2 linked regions of the Xenopus tropicalis genome follow. The protein of the gene in region 1 purifies or fractionates together with the protein of each later gene. This does not show direct contact. Links are inferred from orthologs where the notes say so. Each region holds a gene or a part of one and is shown on either strand. Other genes may lie near its edges. The genes, in order: mia3 and mia2.

What was found.
Region 2: the proteins of mia3 (region 1) and mia2 purify together in Homo sapiens (affinity purification with western blotting; 6 studies listed by BioGRID and IntAct, counting the BioPlex papers as one, with this or other methods). This does not show direct contact. The link is inferred for Xenopus tropicalis from reciprocal best matches to the Homo sapiens genes MIA3 and MIA2.

The regions. Positions count from the first base shown.
Region 1 is NC_030681.2:9,625,667-9,637,478, reverse strand, and holds part of mia3 (transport and Golgi organization protein 1 homolog), read left to right. Parts: intron 1-2,392; coding exon 2,393-2,503; intron 2,504-2,765; coding exon 2,766-2,837; intron 2,838-3,612; coding exon 3,613-3,717; intron 3,718-4,299; coding exon 4,300-4,422; intron 4,423-4,679; coding exon 4,680-4,794; intron 4,795-5,213; coding exon 5,214-5,269; intron 5,270-5,700; coding exon 5,701-5,791; intron 5,792-6,729; coding exon 6,730-6,868; intron 6,869-8,215; coding exon 8,216-8,317; intron 8,318-8,508; coding exon 8,509-8,569; intron 8,570-9,201; coding exon 9,202-9,237; intron 9,238-10,286; coding exon 10,287-10,354; intron 10,355-10,440; coding exon 10,441-10,538; intron 10,539-10,704; coding exon 10,705-10,842; intron 10,843-11,222; coding exon 11,223-11,291; intron 11,292-11,812.
Region 2 is NC_030684.2:90,852,461-90,864,272, forward strand, and holds the start of mia2 (melanoma inhibitory activity protein 2), read left to right. Parts: upstream 1-388; 5' UTR 389-487; coding exon 488-602; intron 603-2,282; coding exon 2,283-2,416; intron 2,417-3,987; coding exon 3,988-4,074; intron 4,075-4,856; coding exon 4,857-4,974; intron 4,975-5,060; coding exon 5,061-6,674; intron 6,675-11,812. UniProt on the Homo sapiens protein: Plays a role in the transport of cargos that are too large to fit into COPII-coated vesicles and require specific mechanisms to be incorporated into membrane-bound carriers and exported from the endoplasmic reticulum.

The sequences.
Region 1 (11,812 bases):
AATTGTTATAAGTGAGCAACCTGACCTCTTCATCTGGAAAATAGCAGGGTGGGCTCTGTTTCTTGGGGTTGGGGTGCTTACAATGTGACCCCATTACTTTAATATTACACTTTTTTTTATTTTTATGTTTGCCAAGCACCCATTGCAGTGTTTCTCTTGTTCTCACATGGAAATAAATAGTGACTAAGATGTGTGCTTGTGGGCCTTATACCCAGAAACCCCATATCTAACGAGGCACCATGCGCTGAACCTTCTATCTGTTTTTCTTTGGTGCTGGGAACAATAATTTATCCTTAAATCTACCTTGACATTCACACCGCTGCATTTCTTCTATACATACTACATGTGGCATGTTTGGCAGGAAATTCATTGTTTGGGGAGGGGAAAAATGTGTTGGTTAGTGTGAACTGTTTGCTTTTTTTGTTCTGCAAATGTCTGGGATTTCCCTTAACTGATGTGGATTGTTTTTGTAGCATATTATCTTTTATTTTCAGCTCTGTTGAATATATATATATATAATATATACAGTGGTGTGAAAAACTATTTGCCCCCTTCCTGATTTCTTATTCTTTTGCATGTTTGTCACACTTAAATGTTTCTGCTCATCAAAAACCGTTAACTATTAGTCAAAGATAACATAATTGAACACAAAATGCAGTTTTTAAATGAAGGTTTACGTTATTAAGGGAGAAAAAAAACTCCAAATCTACATGGCCCTGTGTGAAAAAGTGATTGCCCCCCTTGTTAAAAAATAACTTAACTGTGGTTTATCCATTTCAATTTTCAATTTCAATATCAATTTCTGTAGTCACCCCCAGGCCTGATTACTGCCACACCTGTTTCAATCAAGAAATCACTTAAATAGGAGCTACCTGACACAGAGAAGTAGACCAAAAGCACCTCAAAAGCTAGACATCATGCCAAGATCCAAAGAAATTCAGGAACAAATGAGAACAAAAGTAATTGAGATCTATCAGTCTGGTAAAGGTTATAAAGCCATTTCTAAAGCTTTGGGACTCCAGCGAACCACAGTGAGAGCCATTATCCACAAATGGCAAAAACATGGAACAGTGGTGAACCTTCCCAGGAGTGGCCGGCCGACCAAAATTACCCCAAGAGCGCAGAGACAACTCATCCGAGAGGCCACAAGGACAACATCCAAAGAACTGCAGGCCTCACTTGCCTCAATTAAGGTCAGTGTTCACAACTCCACCATAAGAAAGAGACTGGGCAAAAACGGCCTGCATGGCAGATTTCCAAGGCGCAAACCACTTTTAAGCAAAAAGAACATTATGGCTCGTCTCAATTTTGCTAAAAAACATCTCAATGATTGCCAAGACTTTTGAGAAAATACCTTGTGGACCGACGAGACAAAAGTTGAACTTTTTGGAAGGTGCGTGTCCCGTTACATCTGGCTTAAAAGTAACACAGCATTTCAGAAAAAAGAACATCATACCAACAGTAAAATATGGTGGTGGTAGTGTGATGGTCTGGGGTTGTTTTGCTGCTTCAGGACCTGGAAGGCTTGCTGTGATAGATGGAACCATGAATTCTACTGTCTACCAAAAAATCCTGAAGGAGAATGTCCGGCCATCTGTTCGTCAACTCAAGCTGAAGCGATCTTGGGTGCTGCAGCAGGACAATGACCCAAAACACACCAGCAAATCCACCTCTGAATGGCTGAAGAAAAACAAAATGAAGACTTTGGAGTGGCCTAGTCAAAGTCCTGACCTGAATCCTATTGAGATGTTGTGGCATGACCTTAAAAAGGCGGTTCACGCTAGAAAACCCTCAAATAAAGCTGAATTACAACAATTCTGCAAAGATGAGTGGGCCAAAATTCCTCCAGAGCGCTGTAAAAGACTCGTTGCAAGTTATTGCAAACGCTTGATTGCAGTTATTGCTGCTAAGGGTGGCCCAACCAGTTATTAGGTTCAGGGGGCAATTACTTTTTCACACAGGGCCATGTAGGTTTGGATTTTTTTTCTCCCTAAATAATAAAAACCCTCATTTAAAAACTGCATTTTGTGTTTACTTGTGTTATCTTTGACTAATAGTTAAATGTGTTTGATGATTAGAAACATTTTGTGTGACAAACATGCAAAAGAATAAGAAATCAGGAAGGGGGCAAATAGTTTTTCACACCACTGTATATTATTACAGAATTGCTTCAAGTCAGCATTTGGAGTCAGTGGAGACTAGGAGCATATAGTACAAAATTGCCTAGTTATTAGATGCTTATTTGGCTGGTTCTGTACTTTATAACTAGACCCTAGGATTTCACCAGTTCTCTATAAACCTAGTCCATCAATAAATGCAATGTGCCTGTCTGTTTAGTTCCTTAAAGCTTGTTGTATTCACATTGAAATGATACTCATCCTTGCTTTTCCAGGCCACCATTAAGGAGCTAAAGGATTCCAACAAGGCTTTAGATTCAAAAATGAGGAACATAATGAATGACCTTGTCTCTCAGAAAGAGCAGAGCAAGAAGAAACAGGAAATGGTGAGAGCAGAATGACAACACATTCATATCAATAAGGGAAAATATCAGTTCCTGTTTATTCTTATGTAAATACATAATAAACTGAGCCCATAGATTATTATAAGCAAAGCATTTCTTTTCTGGTTCTACTTCAAATCTTCTATTTGTCGCCTTCTGTAATTATTTGCTTAATAAGAAAACATTGTTTGCTGTTTTGATTTGTAATGTTTTATGTATATGAGCTATTGATTTTAAATGTCTTCATGAATATTTTTCATCACAGATCAACGAGGGGCAGAAATCTATAGAAAAACTTCAAGATAAGTTTTTGGAGCACACAGTTGAACTGTCGGAGGTGAGAGATTCTTTTCTACATGTTTTCTTACATGTTACAGACTTGGCCTGGACTGCAACTCCCATCACCCTCAGTAAGCCAGGGACTGGATAAGGGTGATGTTAAAGGGGTTGTCCACCTTTACATTAAATTTTAGTATGATGTAAAGAGTTATATTATGAGACAACTTACAATCGGTCTTCATTTTTTATTATTTGTAGTTTTTTTTAATTATTTCAGTTTTTGTTCAGCAGCTCTACAGCTTGGAGATTTAGCAGCTATTTGGTTGCTAGGATTCTAATCACCTTAGCAACCAGGGTGTGGTTTGAATGAAAGACTGATATATAAATGGGAGAGGACCTAAATAGAAAAAGAAGGGATATTAAAGTAACAATAACAATAAAACTGCAGCCTCACAAAGCAATAGTTTTTTGGCTGCCGGGGTCAGTGACCCCCCCATATGAAAGCTGCAAAGAGTCAGAAGAAAAAGGCAAATCATTAAAAAACAATGAAAAACAAATAATGAAGACTAATTGAAAAGTTGCTTAGAATTGGCCTTTCTGTAACATACTAAAAGTTAACCTAAAGGTGAACCACCTCTTTAAGTTGAAGGTTGATATTAAACTTACCACTTTAAATTAAAAAAAAAGTTTGATAACACACACCTTAATGAGAGCAGCTGTTAGCATAACATTCACGTTGCTTTCTTGGCATGACTGTATTAGTTCTGAATTATGGAGATTAACTGATATGCAAGGAAGCCTGATTTTTCTTGACAATACTTCTTGCTTTTTAGCTTCAAGCTGCTCTGAATGAAGTAAAACTGAAAGAGGCAAAAGTGCGAAATGAACTGCGTGGTGTGAAGGATGAGAACTCCCGACTCAAAGAGACAAAGGAGCAGGTATGTGAGAAAGTATCCTCCCAAGCAAAACACTAACGTAAAAAGTCTTGGTCTAAATTGGTTGTCCTATAGGATCAGTCAGTTTCTCTACAAGTATATACCACTAAGTGTAATGTACATTCTCCTGTTGTATTCATGTTAAAGGAACAGTAATATAAAAAAGGCACAGGCTATGTAGCAGATAACAGATATGTTCTGTAGAATACAATGGGAACTGTGCAAATTTTCTTGAAACCCTTGCCTTTTCTCCTTTTTTTAATTAGCTACCCCCATGCAAACACACAGCTTTTACCAGTGCAGTGCAATAGTACATAATATATTAATTACTTTGATACACTTTCATTTTTGGTGTTACTGTACCTTTAACAGAAGGAGGGCATACAGTGTAAATAGTTTTATTATGGGGCAGAATATCCTAAGAATATCTACTGTCATTTATGTAGTTATTTTATGTGCCAACATATTCCACAGCACTGTTCAATAAGTAGGTGTATACAGTAAAAATACAGATTACATACAAAGAAAGAAAACCTGATAAAACCAGTAAAACAATTGATTATACTTGTGTTCAATCTGTTTTAGCTGCTAAAAGAAGCTGAAGGGTGGAGTGAAAGGCAGCGAGAGCTTGATGAGCAGATACAGCTGCAGCAGAAGTCTCACAAAGATCTGGAGGAAACCCTGGCCTACAAAGAAAATGAGATTGAGGTAGGCCATTGTGTATGGAAATATCATTACCTGGAAAGCACTGTTCCTCTACTCTACTAGGAGTCGTTGGGATTCTGTGACTAGGAAGCATTCTGTGCACTGAAGAATTTAAAATTGTAATCTTAGTAGCCAAGGAGACACAGAATGGTCAGGGCCCCTATTTGTCTTCTCATATTACAGTTATGGTAGCCCTGTGAGTTTATGTTAATGCCGTAATAATAGTCTTTAATTAATTTACACTAATTTCTGATCCATAGGTTTTAACCAACTGCATCATGCAACTAAAACAGCTTGAGGCGGACTCAACACTGGTAGAAGATGGTAACTGGCAGCAGGCAGGGGATGGGGAATTGGCAAATGGAGAGGTTCCAGGTAACTTTCCTCTCCTAGTCCTTGTTTATTGGGGCATACGATCAGTGATATAGAAGCTGTTGGGTTAGACAATCATTAGGGAATGCCATCCTTGCTTACATATTAAGTTTATTTGTGTCCCCGATGCAAGGAAGCTTTCATGAAATGTCTTTATTGTATATATTTTCCCTGTAACAAACTCCATTTGGTCAGAACTTCTTTTTTTTAAGGGTAATAACTGACTTGACCTATTATAGATACTATTAAAGAATCATTTTGCCAGGGCTGGTAAAAATCCACAGCAATACTATAACTGTACCAGTGTGCCAAGTACTTTGTTAGGATAGACGTGAAGTATTTTGTTGGCAACATTAGATATAGGTTCAAAACAAACAGAATCTGTACAGCTAATCTGTATCTATTGAAATGTTTTATTTTAGAGAAGCAGAAGGAGAAAATGAAAGTGCAGATTAAGCAAATGATGGATGTCTCAAGGGTAAGTATGAGATTGCACTTTGTTTGGTCCCCATAGATATTTATTGTTGTATACTGCACTTAACAAAAATTAGCATAACGTATCAAAATAATGTTATGAACGTCAGCTGTTACTATTAGGGTGAAGACACATGGAACTACTAGTAGCAGCTACTTGTCATGGCTACAAAAATCTACGTGTGTATTAGCAGGGGCAATTCTTAATATTGTCTATGGCAGGGGATTTTCTGGCGTTTAGTAGCCATGACAAGTAGCTGCTACTAAGTAGCTCTGTGTGTCTTTCCCCTTAGTATTGCTCCAATCCAAAGAATTAAGAGAGAATGAGGGAACAAGACTATGGCAGTGCATTCAGCAGCTGATTGATTTAGATTCTTTTTCTTTCCTAATACTCATTAACTTTTTATAACCTGTTCCTGATCTTCCTTGTTTTAGGTTAAAACCACCTTATCAATAATTGAGGAAGAAAAAGACCTCTACCAAAGAAAACTGGCGGATGAGGTTTCTGCACGACATGACCTTGAAGGTAGCCATCTAATAGAAACGTGTACTACTGACTGACATATCCATTTTGAGACCAACAAACCTGTAATAGACAGAGCTGGGATATTGATTTTGTCTGTAGCAATTAAACTATTCAGCAAACAAGCAAAGTAACATTGTATCTATTAATGCAGTCCTTTTCTGATGGATCTGCATAGGCCCATGTAAACAGCCCAGCATGTGGTTGCCCAAACTGGAAAAGGTCTGCTTGTTTGTTAAAGGAAAACTGTCATAAATTTCAGTCACACTTTAGTGCTGCGCTGCAAGTTGGAGTGATATCCCCACCCCTCACCCCCAGCAGCCGATCAGCAGAACAATGGGAAGGGAGCAAGATAGCAGCTCCCAGTAGGTATCAGAATAGCCCTCAATAGTAAGAAATCCAAGTCCGGCTTGGGACTCCTCCAGTTACATGGGAGTAGGAGAAACAATAGGTTAGCTGAAAGCAGTTCTAATGTGTAGCGCTGGCTGAAAGCTCAGACTCAGGCACAAGGCACTGAGATGGCGCCTACACACCAATATTACAGCTACAAATACATTTGTTGGTTCAAGAATATTCATTCTTTGTTTAGCAGCTCTCCAGTTTTGTGTTTCAGCAGTTGCTAGGGTCCAAATTACCTTAGCAATCAGTGAGTGGTTTGAATGAAAGACTGGTAAATGAATAGGAGAGGACCTAAATAGAAAGATAAGGAACAAAAAGTAACAATAACAACAAAACTGTAGCCACAAAGCAATAGTTGTTTGGCACCTGGGGTCAGTGACCTCCCGTCTAAAAGCTGCAAAGAGTTAGAGGAAGAAGGCAAATCATTTAAAAACTATAAAATAAATAAATACTGAAAAGTAACATGAAAGTTAACTTAAAGCTGAACGCCCCTTCAAAGTTGCTGCTGCTGCTGCAAATTTATATGTTTCTTTCTTATCTAGAACAAATTCAGCAACTTCAGCACGACGGCAGCTCCTTGCAGTCAGACAAGACGCGCCTGGACAACGAATGCAAAACTCTGCGCCAGAAAGTTGAAATCCTTACAGAACTGTACCAGCAGAAGGAGATGGCCCTGCAAAAGTAATTAAGGACATGGGTGGGCACAGCATGTGGTGGGAGGGGGAAAAACATATTTAGTTTTCAGCATATTGTGCCATGAAAAACAATTCTATTATGAAGCCACTTGGGATCCTTAAAAAGTCTAAGATTGATAGCGTGAAATGGGGGAGCTGCATTTTATTACCGCCATCTACTGCACCAGTGCTGTCCAACTTCTGTTATACCGAGGGCCAGTGTTATTCTGGCCTACATGGTGGAGGGATAATAATGGAAGCCACTTTAAACCACATCCATGTTAACCACATTAATGGTGGTAGCACAGCAAAAGCCCAAATTCTTGGTACTCACTGCAGGGATATCCTCATAACCAATGTAAAAGAAGCTTATTAAGTCATATTAAGCCACACCCTTAAATATAGTTGTAAACAAGGCAGGGTCTTATATGTGTAACCAATGCAGGGTCTTATATGTGTAAACACTGCAGGGTTTTATAAGTGTGCACAATGCATGGTCTTAGAGGTGCGAACAATGCATTGTCTTACAGACGTGAACAGTGCATGGCCTTATAGGTGTGGACAATGCAGGGTCTTGTATGTGTGAACAGCACATTGTCTTGTAGATGTGAACACGGTGGGGTCTTGTAGGTTGGAACGATGCAGGGTCTTGTAGGTTGGAACGATGCAGGGTCTTGTAGGTTGGAACGATGCAGGGTCTTGTAGGTTGGAACCATGCAGGGTCTTGTAGGTTGGAACCATGCAGGGTCTTGTAGGTTGGAACGATGCAGGGTCTTGTAGGTTGGAACGATGCAGGGTCTTGTAGGTTGGAATGATGCAGGGTATTTTAGGTTTGAGCGATGCAGGGTCTTATATGTACGAACAACACATGATCTTATAGGTGTAAACAATGCAGGGTCTTGTAGGTATAAGCAATGCAGAGTCTTGTAGGTATAAGCAATGCAGGGTCTTGTAGGTATAAGCAATGCAGGGTCTTGTAGGTATAAGCAATGCAGGGTCTTGTAGGTATAAGCAATGCAGGGTCTTGTAGGTATAAGCAATGCAGGGTCTTGTAGGTATAAGCAATGCAGGGTCTTGAAGGTATAAGCAATGCAGGGTCTTGAAGGTGTAAACAATGCAGGGGCTTACAGCCTAAAACTGAGGTTGTAAACAATACAGGGGGGAAGTTAACCTCAGTACTGATACAATGTACAGCTTAAGCATTTGCAGCAACTAGACAGGTGGGGGCCGTGGGCTGCCAGTTGGACAACACTGTACTACACCATCATATTGGGAACCTTCACACTCTCTGCCTGCACATTTCAATATATTATATCAAGCAGGAGACTTATATTGGTTCTTGTGCTTCTTTTAGGAAACTTACACAGGAGGAGTTTGAGCGGCAAGACAAGGAGCAGAAGCTGACGATGGCTGACGAAAAGGCTGTCTCGGCTGTAGCAGAAGTCAAAATCTACAAGTATATATTTTTTGCTGTGAATAAATGATAAACCATCAATTAGCTGTATATAAATCCAAATAATTACTGATTGTGTTCAGCTAGGGAAAGTGACATTTGGCATTACTGAGGGTGACTAATCAAAGTGGGGGAGAACAAACACTAACAATAGGCATTCATTTACAACTGGCTAATTGTATTTGATTTTGCAGGCAGCGAATTCAAGAAATGGAAGAAGAGCTACAGAAAACGGAAAGGTCCTTCAAAAACCAGGTAATGGGCAGTGTCTGTATCTCCTGGGTACACTGTGTTTCCTTTTTAGCTCTTCATTGGGGCTTTACTGATTCAAATAGGTTGTTAGTGTAAAGCCTGAAAATTATAGCGCCAGTAGATTGATCCAAGCTAAATATTTGTTGGCTGTTGTGGCTAACTTCAATGACTGCTTCACTTAGTGAGTAACATATTAATCAAAAGCAGCTTGATTGTGGGCATAGTAATTCAATTTATTTGTATTACCTGTCTGTTTATCCAGACCCTCTCTGTAATTCAAGCCAGGGTCTCTTGTGTAGTGGAAGCCTAGAAACCAGTTACAAACCATTAAATAACCCAAAATCTAATTCTAGTTGCAAATCATCCTTCGTTGCCACTACAAGAGGCAAACTTTTTTCACTTATCTACATAGTGCCAAAATTAATCTTAAGTAAAACTTTCCCTTTAACCTCTAGCACTGCTTCTTGACAAAGTACAGAAATGGGTCCAAATGGCCACTGATTGTGCTCTGATAGGCCTGCCTGGCCCTTATAGTTATGTATTTCACTGAAGGCTAGATAGCTTTAGGAGGGTTTGTGGAATGCACATTTTTCTGTTATAGTTTGTGTTAAATTCTTTTTATTCATGTTTTTCAGATTGCAAGCCATGAAAAGAAAGCTCACGAAAACTGGGTGAGTGTGGTACCTATATACACCTTTATAATGTAGTAGAAGACTTTTCCTCAGATTTGAAGTAGGCAAGATTAGAGCCAACCTGGCATCAGTCAGAGCATTATGATGTTGACTGGTGTAGAGCAGGTAGCGAAAAAGAGCATTTGAACAGTCACATGACTGTAAATGGTCAGGGCTTTAGAAAGTTCTCAGCTTAATTATTGTCAGAGATACTGGAGCTGTGGTTTTTAATCAGGTAGAGAGAAGCAGATCTGCTCTAATCAGCACTTCCCTGTAGCTGTACTGACAATCACTATCAGAAATCAGGCCTGAAATCAGTGATATTTTCAGGCCACTTTCCACTCCACTGCAGCTACATGGAGATACTGATTAGAGTGGATCCGCTTCTCTCATTAAAAACGCTCTGTGTGACTAAGCCCTTATGGGTAAGAACCCATGGAGCGAGTTACTCGCTTGCGAAAGATCTCCACTATCGTGGGCGAGTAACCACTCCGAAAAGGCTTTCCACCGGCAACAATAGAAGTCGCCAGTGGAAAGCCCTTTGCATCGCTTCGGTAATCCGAAGTTGCACAATGTTTGGGAACTGAAGTGATGCGAAGGGCTTTCCACCAGTGACTTCTATTGTTGCCAGTGGAAAGCCTTTTTGGAGCAGTTATTGCTCCATGGGTTCTTACCCTATAGGTGGTTTTGCTAAAGGCCACAACAACCTGTTGTCACCAATCAGTCTGTTAGGTTGACCATATGAACAAATGGGTCGGGGACTTAACTGACATTGTTCATGTTTTAATTGCCAAAAATGTGTACTTTTCTTTTGGCTGTAGCTGGTTTGAGAAATTATTTCAGATACAGCTATGAAATGTAATTTTTTTGTAATTACCCTTTAGGGGACTTTTTCACCTTTTCCACCGATCCTTCATGCTGGAGAATAAGTTATAATCAATGATGGAATGCCTTCATTTTAGTGCTAATTGATATATTAGAAATGGTTAATAATTGCTAATGCATCTCACTATGGCCTCTTTTTCCTCCAATCCCTGTCTATGCTGCAGCTCTCTGCTCGGTCAGCTGAGAGAACCTTGGCAGAAGAGAAACGAGAGTGTGCAAACCTCCGGCAGAAGTAAGAGAACTTTTATGGGAGACTAAGATTATGCTAGATCCCACATATCAACAGTGTACATGTATTTATATAAAATGCTTTTTCAGATTAATTGAAGTCAACCAAAGAGTTGCAGAGCTCCAGAGACCTGCCATTGTGAAGCCGACGCCAGGAAGGCCAGAGCATCAGCAATCACTAAAGAGAGGTACTAAGCATCAACCATTGCCCCTTCTGTGGGTTACTGAATTTTATCGACCTATCGATTTAATTAAATGTAGTTAATGTCATTTCTGTGCCATTTTAAAAAGATAATTGCATGTCTGCTATATAATGGATGATCCCTAACAATTTTTCTTTCTATTTAAATTAAGGTAATCTGAGCAGAGATGGCTCATTTGGACCTTCCCCTGTAAGTGGGGGAAATCCTTCACCTCCTTTAATGATGGATGTATCCGGAAGGTCATCATCTGCCAACCTTAATAGATCTGAGGGTCCTAAGGGTGACTTTGGTAAGTAACATTCTGTTGCACACACTAAATCTTTAGGACCTCAGGTCATCACTGCTGAACCTTGTTTTAAAAATCTCAATACAATGAACTAGGCTGTATGGGATCTGCTGCAATATACAGTGTATCTATTTGGCTAGCCTGCAGCAATGCAAGACTTGGTGCTGAGTGTTTCCTACATATTCCTGAATGTTCTTCAACAGCTGGTTCACTAGTGTGGCTTCTCAGATTGGCTGCAGCTGGTTCCATTTATGGCAATATACTGGCAGTGAATAAACACTGGATAACTGGACACAGTATCAAAACATATCCTTCAATGTGTTACATTATGCGTCATAAAACTGCACACTCCATGGTAATAAGTAATCCTTTCTGACTTAAAGGTGCAATGGACATTCCACCCGGACCAAGGTGTTCCCAAGCTGATATGTCTGGAAGAATCTCCGCACCAGGTGGGTAGTGCTTTAATAATTGTGGGCAGGTTTCTTCTGGTACAGGTAAATATTTCAAGGTTCTCAAATTGAATAAAGAGCAACATGGGGAGTTGTATTAGGTTTAGACAAATGTTAGTCATGGAGAACTGTCATTCTCTTCAAGGTGTAGTCCAAGGTCACTGGATTACCCCCTCTCTCCGGCTCATAAACTCATTCCCCTTTGATAGCCACACAACGTTACAACATAAGAGCCAGCGGTAAAGAAAAGCTCAGGGGAAATCAAGCAGAATAATTTGATAATATAGTGTAGTATAGTATGCCCCTACATATAACTGCAAGGTTAAAGGATGACTTTAGAATATATCATTATTTATTGTATTCAGCTCCTCATAACACCATTGGTGTTTCCATGCATCCTTTATCCACTGTAATTCACCTTGTGGGGGGGTATAGGTGGGTAATTAAAAATGTTTAAAAGCAATGTCTTGCTTTACTTAAATACCAGATTGATGCAGTATCAAATCTTCTGCTATTAAGGA
Region 2 (11,812 bases), on another chromosome or scaffold:
AGGAAAAGCAACGTTTAGTGCAATGGTACACATAGTGCTTTGTCACTCATAGATGAATGCCTTTAACACTTTACATGCAGCAATCCAGGTTAATTGTGGGAACATACATTTTCCTGCTAATCATGAAATACAAATGTCAAATGTACAAAAGATAACGTAACATATCTGGTAGTGTTAATCTCCCTACTTAGTGAACAAATCCTAAAGGTTATATAGCTGTAGACTAAAAAAAACAATATATTTATAAATCAATCAATATTGCTACTCTGAGAGTTCCCAAGGTCCAGTTTCTGTGTTTATGGTGGCTGTTAAATCTCTGTACTTTAGTTAACCATTAAACTAATCAGTGATGTTCAGATTCCTGACTCTGCAATTCATTCCTGCCATGTTACAAAAGACATGCATGAGACTACAAGAAATCAAGCAGCTCCAATAATTTTGCTTTGGAATTCCCAATTATTTTTGAAAAGCAGCTCATGAAAGCAAAATGGTGGAACAGTGGGGACATAGGATTGTTGTTCTTGGCCTGTTATTGTCTGTGCCACTTCAGTCGCAGAAAATTCTGTCAGATAAGAAGAAATGTGCGGATCCTCATTGTGAAAGTAAGTATTTTACAAAAGCAATAACAGCGATGTTTATATGATATGTTCTCTTTCTCTAGTAAATCAGTCTAAAGTGAATGTTTGTGCACAACAGTATATTATTCACTAAGCTATTGTAACTGTGAAGTAAGTTGAATTAGAGACACATTCATTTAGCATTTCTTTTAAATATATTTTTTTATCATGCCTTTTCCAACACCCACAGGCCATGGTGCTATCACACAAGCAGGGCAAGGTTCACCACCATTGTTTAGCAATAGGACATATATTACACAGCAGCACACGTGTTGCAAACTAGTGCTGGGAAAGCTCTAACCAGAGCTTTATTAAGGGAAAAAAAACAAGCACATAAAAACAAGGATAGTCTGATTTCTATCTTTGCTTAAATCTTACCATTTGCTAAAGCAAAGAATGCACTCTGCCTTTTGTCTTGTGACAATAAGGGCACTGTTTCAATGGAGATTTCTTATTCCTGCACAGTAATCTCCCATAATTTTTTTCTCATGCAGATCAATGATGTTGGGAAACATTAAAAGGAATGACTGTATTTTAACCCAAAATAACTATAGTAAATATATACACAGATATGTAGATATGTGAGGTTCCATCAACCATACACAGGCAGATTTAAGCTGCAGATTTGAGTCCTTTAGACAGATTCGGCAACTTATCTGCCTCTGTATGGGGCCTCCCTGATCAATATCTGGCCAAAAATCAGCTAGGTGTCAATTGAGATTGACACCTGGCTGAGCAGATCTTATTGACCAAATAAGTGGATCTTAACTTGTATGGCCACCTTAAGATATTGTGAGAGATGCAATGGGAAAGAGCGTTATTTGGTGTATTTCCACCAGTACTTAAGGTGGGATACAAATGGCCCAAGGTAAAATACCTGGTTTTACAGCAGGTAATGCTGTTTTGGAGTAAATCTCCTTTAAGGTTTGATTTGGCCAGCTGTAGGGAGCTGCCTGATTAGGCTGCAGGTGAAGCAGTCAATAAAAGGGGTTGTGTGATTTAGAGAATTGGAATTAAACTTTGAGTGAAGGTCACTCTCAGAGCAGGGCACAGAGCAGGAGGGCTGCCTGTGTTAGGAACTCCCAGAGGAGCTGGGGGTGCCACCTGCCACTGCCAGGAAGCAGAGGGAGTGCTGACCGAACGGATGAGTGCTGAGAGGGCTCGGCAAGGCTTAGTGTGAAGCCTGAGTGTTCCAGACCGTGGAAATAACCCTGGAAGGTGAGAACCCTGAAGAAGGGACATCTCAAAACCCTGAACTGTTTACTGAACTGTCTTTATGTTTCTGTTGGGAAGAATTGGCCCTAAATAAACCTGAGTTTTGCCTGAAGACTTGGTGTCCCTGTCTCTATGCTCCAGATCCTCTGCATGCCTGCCTGCCTACCATTGCTATTTCCCCCAAAATTGCGTGTACAGGCATTCAGCATGTCACAATATATAAGCTGATAGGGCAAGCCCAGAACCAAAGCTCCTATTAGATTTTCTCTGCCATCATAAAGTGTGCTGAATCCTAGAATATATATATATATATATATTGTTTTCTGTATCCCACAATTTATCACGTGGCACCCAGGCCGTATCTATATTTTTTTGGCGAGTGCCCTCCCTCTATTATGTTATATATATCCACTTACTTGTCAATGCTAATTATTCTTTACTATACCGAAGGTTTAATGTTCAGAGCTCAGGCTATTCAAGATTACAATGGACCTGACTGCAGATATCTGAGTTTTAAAGTAGGAGCAGAAATCATTGTGTACTACAAACTGTCTGGTAAACGAGAGGATCTATGGCAAGGAAGTGTAAGTAAACACCATTAATTCAGAAACCTTTGTCAGATTCCGGCATCGTTGTGCGAGCATTTACAGTTTAGATTATGAAACTATTAAAATTACAGAATAAAAAAATGGTGTAAAGAAAAAAAATAGTTAATAGTATACTGCCATCATTGCATTACACTAAAAAGTTGTTCTGCCACCAACATGTCTGCACTATAGAGAAAGCAAATGTTTATTAACATTGGAAACAAACATAACCAGAACTTTGCTTTTGTTTTCCTATTTGTAGTTGACCATTCAAATCTAATTGCTGATTTGTTGCTATGGGCAACATCACCGATGACGTTTGTCTCCAATGTTAATAAATACACCACTGAATAAAGTGCTGCTCTGCTTATTTTGCTTAGTGTGCCTACCTTTGAAATATTAATACGCTAACATGCAGCAAGAGCAGAGGGTCATTTGTATGGCTCCTTAAAGGGAAACTGTACAGTTTTCATTATATAAGCAATTGTATTTATTATTAACAATAAATTTGCAAAAGAAGTGCCCCTACTATTCTAAGCAGAGAGGCCTCAGAAGCCACTTCCTGCTTCAGTGACGTAACCTGGCGGCTGCACAAGCAGAGCTGCAGGGGGCGCCCAAAACAGCAGTCAGCAATTTTTACATAACTTTATTTTGGTGTCTATAGTTCCATTTTAATAATTGTTAGCCGGAATGTTCTTCAGGGACATTCTGCAAACTTCTAGCTGTCTGTAAACTGAAATCCCCACCAACTGTTGGAGGGTTCTTGGTTGCACAAGATTTATGTAGTTTTTTTTCTTATTAGAACCAAAAACTGCAGTTCTCTTCTCCCCATAAACATATTTCATTCCTGCTGCTTAGAGGTCTTTCAAACTCCATTTAATTTCTAGAACTGCAGTTTCTTTGCACCATAACCAATAGTCCAAGTCCATCAGTTCTCATATATACAGTACAAGCTTTGTTTCCAGTTATCCAAATATTTGTATCAGGGCTCTATTGGTCCCTAAATATTTCAGAAAGTAACAATTTAAGGTTCAAAAATAGCAGTTGGTGCACTAAATTTTATTTATTTTAATTTTCAACATATTTTAAGTGCATCAATTGCTATTTCTGAATTTTGTTTTCCATCTGTTCTTCTCTTCACCCCTTGAAGTCACAGTCCTATCTCTTCCCCAACACATCTCTAGCCCCAGGGCTCAAGTGATTTAATTCCTGGACTTAAGTGAAATTGATATGCAAGTCCATATGTTGAAATACCCCATTAGGCAAATAATTAAAGGAAAGAAAGCTAAATGTGGCAGATTGGTTGATGTAAATAATTGTGTACAAAGGTTGAATGTCCCCTTTAAACAACAGAGGTCATTTACAGCATGGATGGCAGTATGCAAAGTGCAACAAATGACTGCAATTGGCTCAGTGCTATCATACGTTGCTGTATTACTACAGGTCTCTGTGCTGTGCTTTTTAGTGCAGAAACTGATTGTTCAGGCCATTTTTGGCCAATGTTATACATTTTGGGCCAATATTCTCAGGAACTATAATAGTAACACAAGATAATATATTGTTTCCAGACTGGTAAAGAATATGGCTTTTTCCCAATGCATACTGTTACAATTGAAGAAATCTACGTGACTGAAGAAGTAGAGGTTGATGCACAGGTAAGACTATATTAGCATTTCATAACATTTATAATTTCTTATATTAGTAGTAATTTTCCTGAAGGCTGATTCTGTAACCCAAAACTGCCATATTGGGAACCAAGCTCAGCACTTGGGTTAATGTTACTGTGCGCTAAGTGCAGTTTTTAATGCAAGGCACCATTTTTCCCACAGTGTTATGAGAATTCAGTGCAACTATTCTATCTGCCAAATTGTGCCCAGTGCATCAAAGCGAATGCAATTTTGCATGCATGTGTTTGTGAATCAGACACAAGTTGCGGGACTACATTGTTTCCATAGCATGGTATTTAAATTCCATTAGCATATGATTCTTTCTTTGCTAGTCTGTTGCATCTAGTGACACAGCAGCTGTTGGTACCATGGCACTACTGGCATGCCCAGTGTGGCCGCAGCTCCAGTGCTCCCCAGAGTCACTTTTATCAGAAAAGACGGGGTGAATGCAACGGTGCTCAATGCAACTATGAGAATGTGAAAGGTTAATTTTTTGACTGCATGTACCTTTTAATAAAGAGCATCAATACCTAGTTCCATCCATTTTAGTGTAACCACACTTTCACCTGCATATATAAATGACCCATTTGGTCTAAAAAGTTCTTTACAGACTGAAGACTAAAAGATTTCTGCCTTACAAACAGGTTGACTAAGGTGGAATAATTTTGGAGAATGAGGCTTACAAGTGACTTCAAATTGATATAAGAGAATGCTCAATATTAGATATGTACATTAAGATTGTATCATCATTGTTTTGAATCTTCTTTCAGGAAATTGATTTTGTTTGTCTGAATGGGGGTGAATATGTATTTGAAAATGAGGACAGTGTACTGCTTAAGCCTGAGGAAAGCGAATATGCTCGTGACTTGGAGAGTAAAGTAATTAAAGGTGAGAAGGTACAATCTTTAAAGGTAAAAACATATTTTTAACAGTAACTGCTAAATGTTTAATTAAAATGTCTTTATGTGTTCCAGATAACAAGTTTGTTGGAAATACAGAGACAAATACAGAAACAAACATACAGACATCCGAGAACCTGGAAGAAATAGACAAATCTAAATGGTCTACATCAAGTATTGCAGGATGGTTCGGCATAGGAGAGTCAGAAGACAAACAAAGTACTGAAATTAACACAGAACCTGTAAAAGAAGATACTTTTCACTCAAGGAAAATTGCAATAAGTGAAGAAATGGAAATTAAAGGAACTGATGAAGTGGAACTGAAAAAGTCTGGATGGTTAAGCAGTCAATTTACAAATTTTCTGCCATTTGGAAAAAGGGAGGTTGATGCTCCAGTTCAAAAAGAAAAAACAGATGATGTGGTTTCTGCTCATACAAGTCAATCTGATGAGATGAAAATGAATGTCAAGGAAATACCAACCGAAGCAAGCACTTCTACAGAGCCACAGTCAAAATGGTTTAACTTTGCTATAAAAGATGTTTTCGGAGTTGGCAGTAAAGATGAAGTTAAGATAAAAGATGTTCATGAACATGGAGATATCATTTTAGAAAATGAACCATCAGAAATTTCCAGTGATGGTGAAGAATTAACTGCAACAAACAGTGAAGACAGAGAGGAAACATTTGATGAAACTAAAAGCCAAGAGAAAGGTGGGTCTTGTGATTCACAGCTGTTAGATGACTTTTCATGTGTAATGTCAGGGGGAAAAGGCTCCCAATCCATTGAGAGTGTTATATCAGAAAACCAAAATACTTTGCAATCTTATAAAGAGCTCCACAATGAAGATATTAGTGAAAATTCGTATACACAATCATATGCCATGCCAAACTGGGTAAACAATAAAGAGGATAGGACTGTAGAAATTCATATAGAAGCTAGAGAAACAATATATGAAGGTCAGTCATATAATTCAAAGGAAAATAAGGAAATGGTTCAAGCAGACTCTGGTAAAACTGAAAATCATGATATGGCAAATGGTCAAAAAAATAGTAGCAAGCTTAGTCTTGAGCCCTCTCTTAATATACTCCCAAATACAGACACAAATGGTATAAATACACTTGTCCAGACAACTACAGGAACAACATCTGGAGATAGAGATGAGCCTAAAAAGACTTATACTGATGAGATAGAAAATCAGTTTACAGCTGAGATCAATAGTACTGTATCCCCAAAAGAAGAAAACAATAAATCTCAAAAGAGTTTTATACCTCAGGTTGATCTCTTGGAATCTCAGGATAAAAAAGATCTGGATACTTTAAAAAATAATATATATTCTTCCAATCACATAGATGAAGCAAGCCCTAAAGAGAACACTGTGGTGGATTTACCCCTGGATGACAAAATTGAGCAAATGTATGCTGAAAATACTGTCAATTCAACAAAAACACAGGAAGAGAACATCAAAATAAATGAATTTTCAGCTGATGGGACAAAGGAAAAACACAAAATTCTGTCTACTGATAACCCTATAGTGAGTGAAACATTTAGGACAGAACTGTCTTCAGATATTGGGAACCCAAATACTGACTGTGATATCAGTAGCAACACTAAGATTCATAAAACTGTTGCACAAGACTTTCTATCAAAGAATGAACTGAGTGAACATAGCCAGGAACTAGAAACAGCAGGTAAGTTGGGATACTGATTTATGCATATTAGGTTATGTAGAGCCGTACTGTCTTGTGCAAAATAGAGAACATTCAACAAAAAATGATCACATGGAGTAAAATGGCAAAGCTAATCTGACACTAATTTAATTGTTCCCCTAAAACAGAAAAAACAGCATGTAGGAGGAAACAGTGTCTGGACTGTAATTTTGTAGGTGCCTGATGTATTGTAGTGCTTAGTTAAACACTAGTTCGAACTACTTGATTAAAGCCTTATGCTCTTTCATATAAATGGTGCGCACCACAGTATTAAACAATAAGATCCTCTCTTGTTTTGACAAGAATTCTTTATTTGCAAAGTTATAGCACCATGAAAAAATAAACAAAAATATAATTTATGATTTATGTCACAGTGTATTGGCAGCTTTTTATTTGGATCGGGTTCTTTACATTTCAAATTAAAAGAGACCTGTTATGCAGAATTTTTGGAAAAGAGGGTTTTCCAGATAAGGGTCTTTCTGTAATTTGGATCTCCTTAAGTCTACTAAAAAATAATCTAATCATTAAGCCCAATGGGATTGTTTTGCATCCATTAAGGATTGATTATATCTTAGTCGGGATTAAGCATAATCTTCTGTTGTATTATTACAGAGAAAAATGAATCATTTTAAAAAAATTTAATTATTTGTTTAAAATGGAGTCTATGGGAGATGGGCTTCCTGTAACTCAGATCTTACTGGATAACTTTTCCCATCCCTGTATTAAAAATGAAAAAAAAACTTGATTGTGCAGAAATATCCCACATGAAAAGAAAAAAAAAAATAATCAATACCAGAAAACATTAATAATCCTGAACCCAAACACCATCAGGTAATAAAAATGTACATATACAGTATATATATAGTACACAGCGAGGAGCACACCCTATACAAGTCCAAATGCCCTTGGTGCAGGTTAAAAACAAAAGTATAATAGAAAGAGTGCCGCACTCACAAGGACTTGATACAAAAGAAAAAGTGTTTTTCAGCCAAGACTTTTTCTTTTGTATCAAGTCCCTGTGAGTGCGGCACTCTTTCCAGTGTATATATATATATATATATATAGCATGAAATAATCCATGGCCGGCACACCCTTAAAATTCAAAAAAAATTTTTATTGAAAACTCATTGTTTTTTGATGGTTTTTAAACAATGAGTTTTCAATAAAAATTTTTTTTGAATTTTAAGGGTGTGCCGGCCATGGATTATTTCATGCTAAATACTCAGATTTTGGCTGTGCACCCCACAGAATACTAAAAGCTTTGGAGTGCAGACACCATCAGGACTGATATATATATATATATATATATATATATACTTATACTTGAAATAATAATATATAAATACAAATTATAACAAATATATACAAGGTACAGTTGCAATAAGTTAAGAATCCAAGAGACAAGAGGATGAAGGTCTCTGCCCCGTAGAGCACTGTACAGGTATGGGACCTGTTTTCCAGAATGCTCTGGACCTGGGGTTTTTTCCGGATAATGGATCTTTCCGTAATTTGGATCTCCGTTACTTAAGTCTGCTAAAAATCATTCAAATATTGAATACATCCAATAGGCTTGTTTTGCCTCCAATAAGGGTTAATTATATCTTAGTTAGGATCAAGTACAAGGTACTGTTTTATTATTACAGAGAAAAATTTGAATTATTTTCTTACAATGGAGTCTATGGGAGATGAACTTTCCATAATTCGGAACTTTTTGGATAACGGGTTTCCGGATAAGGGATCCCATACCTGTACCATGTCCAGATTATGTTGCATACATGTACAGTGGAGGAAATAATTATTTGACCCCTCACTGATTTTGTAAGTTTGTCCAATGACAAAGAAATGAAAAGTCTCAGAACAGTATCATTTCAATGGTAGGTTTATTTTAACAGTGGCAGATAGCACATCAAAAGGAAAATCGAAAAAATAACTTTAAATAAAAGATAGCAACTGATTTGCATTTCATTGAGTGAAATAAGTTTTTGAACCCCTACCAACCATTAAGAGTTCTGGCTCCCACAGAGTGGTTAGACACTTCTACTCAATTAGTCAACCTCATTAAGGACACCTGTCTTAACTAGTCACCTGTATAAAAGACACCTGTCCACAGAATCAATCAATCAAGCAGACTCCAAACTCTCCAACATGGGAAAGACCAAAGAGCTGTCCAAGGATGTCAGAGACAAAATTGTAGACCTGCACAAGGCTGGAATGGGCTACAAAACCATTAGCAAGAAGCTGGGAGAGAAGGTGACAACTGTTGGTGCGATTGTTCGAAAATGGAAGGAGCACAAAATGACTATCAATCGACCTCGCTCTGGGGCTCCACGCAAGATCTCACCTCGTGGGGTGTCAATGATTCTGAGAAAGGTGAAAAAGCATCCTAGAACTACACGGGAGGAGTTAGTTAATGACCTCAAATTAGCAGGGACCACAGTCACCAAGAAAACCATTGGAAACACATTACACCGCAATGGATTAAAATCCTGCAGGGCTCGCAAGGTCCCCCTGCTCAAGAAGGCACATGTGCAGGCCCGTCTGAAGTTTGCCATTGAACACCTGAATGATTCTGTGAGTGACTGGGAGAAGGTGCTGTGGTCTGATGAGACCAAAATAGAGCTCTTTGCCATTAACTCAACTCGCTGTGTTTGGAGGAAGAAAAATGCTGCCTATGACCCCCAAAACACCGTCCCCACCGTCAAGCATGGGGGTGGAAACATTTTGCTTTGGGGGTGTTTTTCTGCTAAGGGCACAGGACAACTTATTCGCATTAACGGGAAAATGGACGGAGCCATGTATCGTGAAATCCTGAACGACAACCTCCTTCCCTCTGCCAGGAAACTGAAAATGGGTCGTGGATGGGTGTTCCAGCACGACAATGACCCAAAACATACAGCAAAGGCAACAAAGGAGTGGCTCAAGAAGAAGCACATTAAGGTCATGGAGTGGCCTAGTCAGTCTCCGGACCTTAATCCAATAGAAAACCTATGGAGGGAGCTCAAGCTCAGAGTTGCACAGAGACAGCCTCGAAACCTTAAGGATTTAGAGATGATCTGCAAAGAGGAGTGGACCAACATTCCTCCTAAAATGTGCGCAAACTTGGTCATCAATTACAAGAAACGTTTGACCTCTGTGCTTGCAAACAAGGGTTTTTCCACTAAGTATTAAGTCTTTTTTTGTTCGAGGGTTCAAAAACTTATTTCACTCAATGAAATGCAAATCAGTTGCTATCTTTTTTTAAAGTTATTTTTTCGATTTTCCTTTTGATGTGCTATCTGCCACTGTTAAAATAAACCTACCATTGAAATGATACTGTTCTGAGACTTTTCATTTCTTTGTCATTGGACAAACTTACAAAATCAGTGAGGGGTCAAATAATTATTTCCTCCACTGTATATTACTAATTCAGTTGATTGTATTCATCTGAGTATTGCCTGCATTCATATTATTTTTACATTTTGTATCACTAGTTACTTATCTTTATTATTATTATGTTGAGATGTGCAACCCTGTGTTTTTCTCACTTTACATTTGCTGTCTTTACCGGCTCCTATTACCAGCTATACTAACCATTTATAGGGTCTGGTACATCATCAAAGTCTCTGTTTAACAGCTTTTCCCAGCATCTTCTTTACCAGCTATTTCTATCTTTTTAGAGATAAATACCTATACCTGCCCTTCATAGTTTTTTTTTTTTTAGTTACTATTCAACCCTTTTTTGCAATTACTGTACAAAGAGTTTTTTGTAGTCATATTAATTGTTTGCAAGGGTTATTCATCAATTATATTAACCTTGCCAGGATTTTGTTCAGTTTGTAGGTTTACCAACACATGCTGGCTGTTTAATTATTAAAGGGACTGGGTAAAATGAGGTAAAAAAAAAACAGCTCTTCACTCGCATTTCCTTTTCTTTGCAGCTTTTGTATTCCCGAAATGTTTTTTAAAAATGCACCTAAAATGCAATTAACAAAAGGCAAAGAAAGGCAAATGAGATAAAGAAGTCGCTTTCATATTTTACAAACTTGACCCTAGCCCCTGATGAATAATAAATCAGCCCCTTAGTGGGCACTTAAGCACAGATTTATCAAAACATGAGATTAGAGCTCATCATAAACAAAATTTCAGTGCCAAGTAGAACTAACTACATGAGACAGGGTCAATAATGGCAACTTAGCCTGCTGTTTGTTCCTAGCCTTAGAAAACCAATTTTTCTAATCGCATTTCTTAAATCATTATGCTACTTAAGGGTGTATATTGTTTTGTAATTAGGCCGATACTTTTTTTCTTGTAATTTTTACATCTTAATATGTCCTTTTTTTAACCTATATTACTATATGCTATATGGATTTGCAACTCTTTATTTAGCCCTTGCACTGTGCTTATTACTTAGGCTTTAAACTCAGGGGTCTGTATGTTATTAACAGTTTACTTACCACTTTGAATGTGTTCCTCTGAGGATCCTACCTTCCTGTCTTACAAGAAGCATTTTCCATCACTTTCTACCCAATCTATTTTAATTACTGTTGTTGCCTTTCTTCCACCTTTATACATGCTCAATTTATTGAACCTTTTATTACATACTTTTCTTCTGCATTTGTGAGGTGCCTCCTAGCAATGTAATCTTTTCACTTTTTTATTGAAAGCTCTGTTTTTCTGTATTTTTATCTTCTTCAAATTGCATAAATTTGAAGAATAACATGATTTTAATCTGCATGATTCATTCATATCTGGATGGCACTATTAAAGCAGCATTAATCTGATCCTTTAAAACATTTAAAAAAATCACAATTGCATATAGCCTTTCTTTTTTAAGAAAGAGACTTCTCGTATCACCTTCATTGTAATGCAATCATTTGGCCCTGAATCTTACCGTGTATGGCCACCTTAAGCCTGAAGCTCACTTGACATTAAAATGCAGGGATTTCAGAATCTTAAATATTGTATTATTTTTTATTCTCGTGTGTGTGCATTAGTTTCTCTTGAATGCAGATAAAATGCATGACTCAGCTGAAAAGACCAGCTTCATAAGAAGACTAATATCAAAAGCTAACTGATATCCAGACCCAGTATTAGGTTTCAAATAAAAGCTTGAATCGGAAAGCCTCTTAAAATGCAACAGG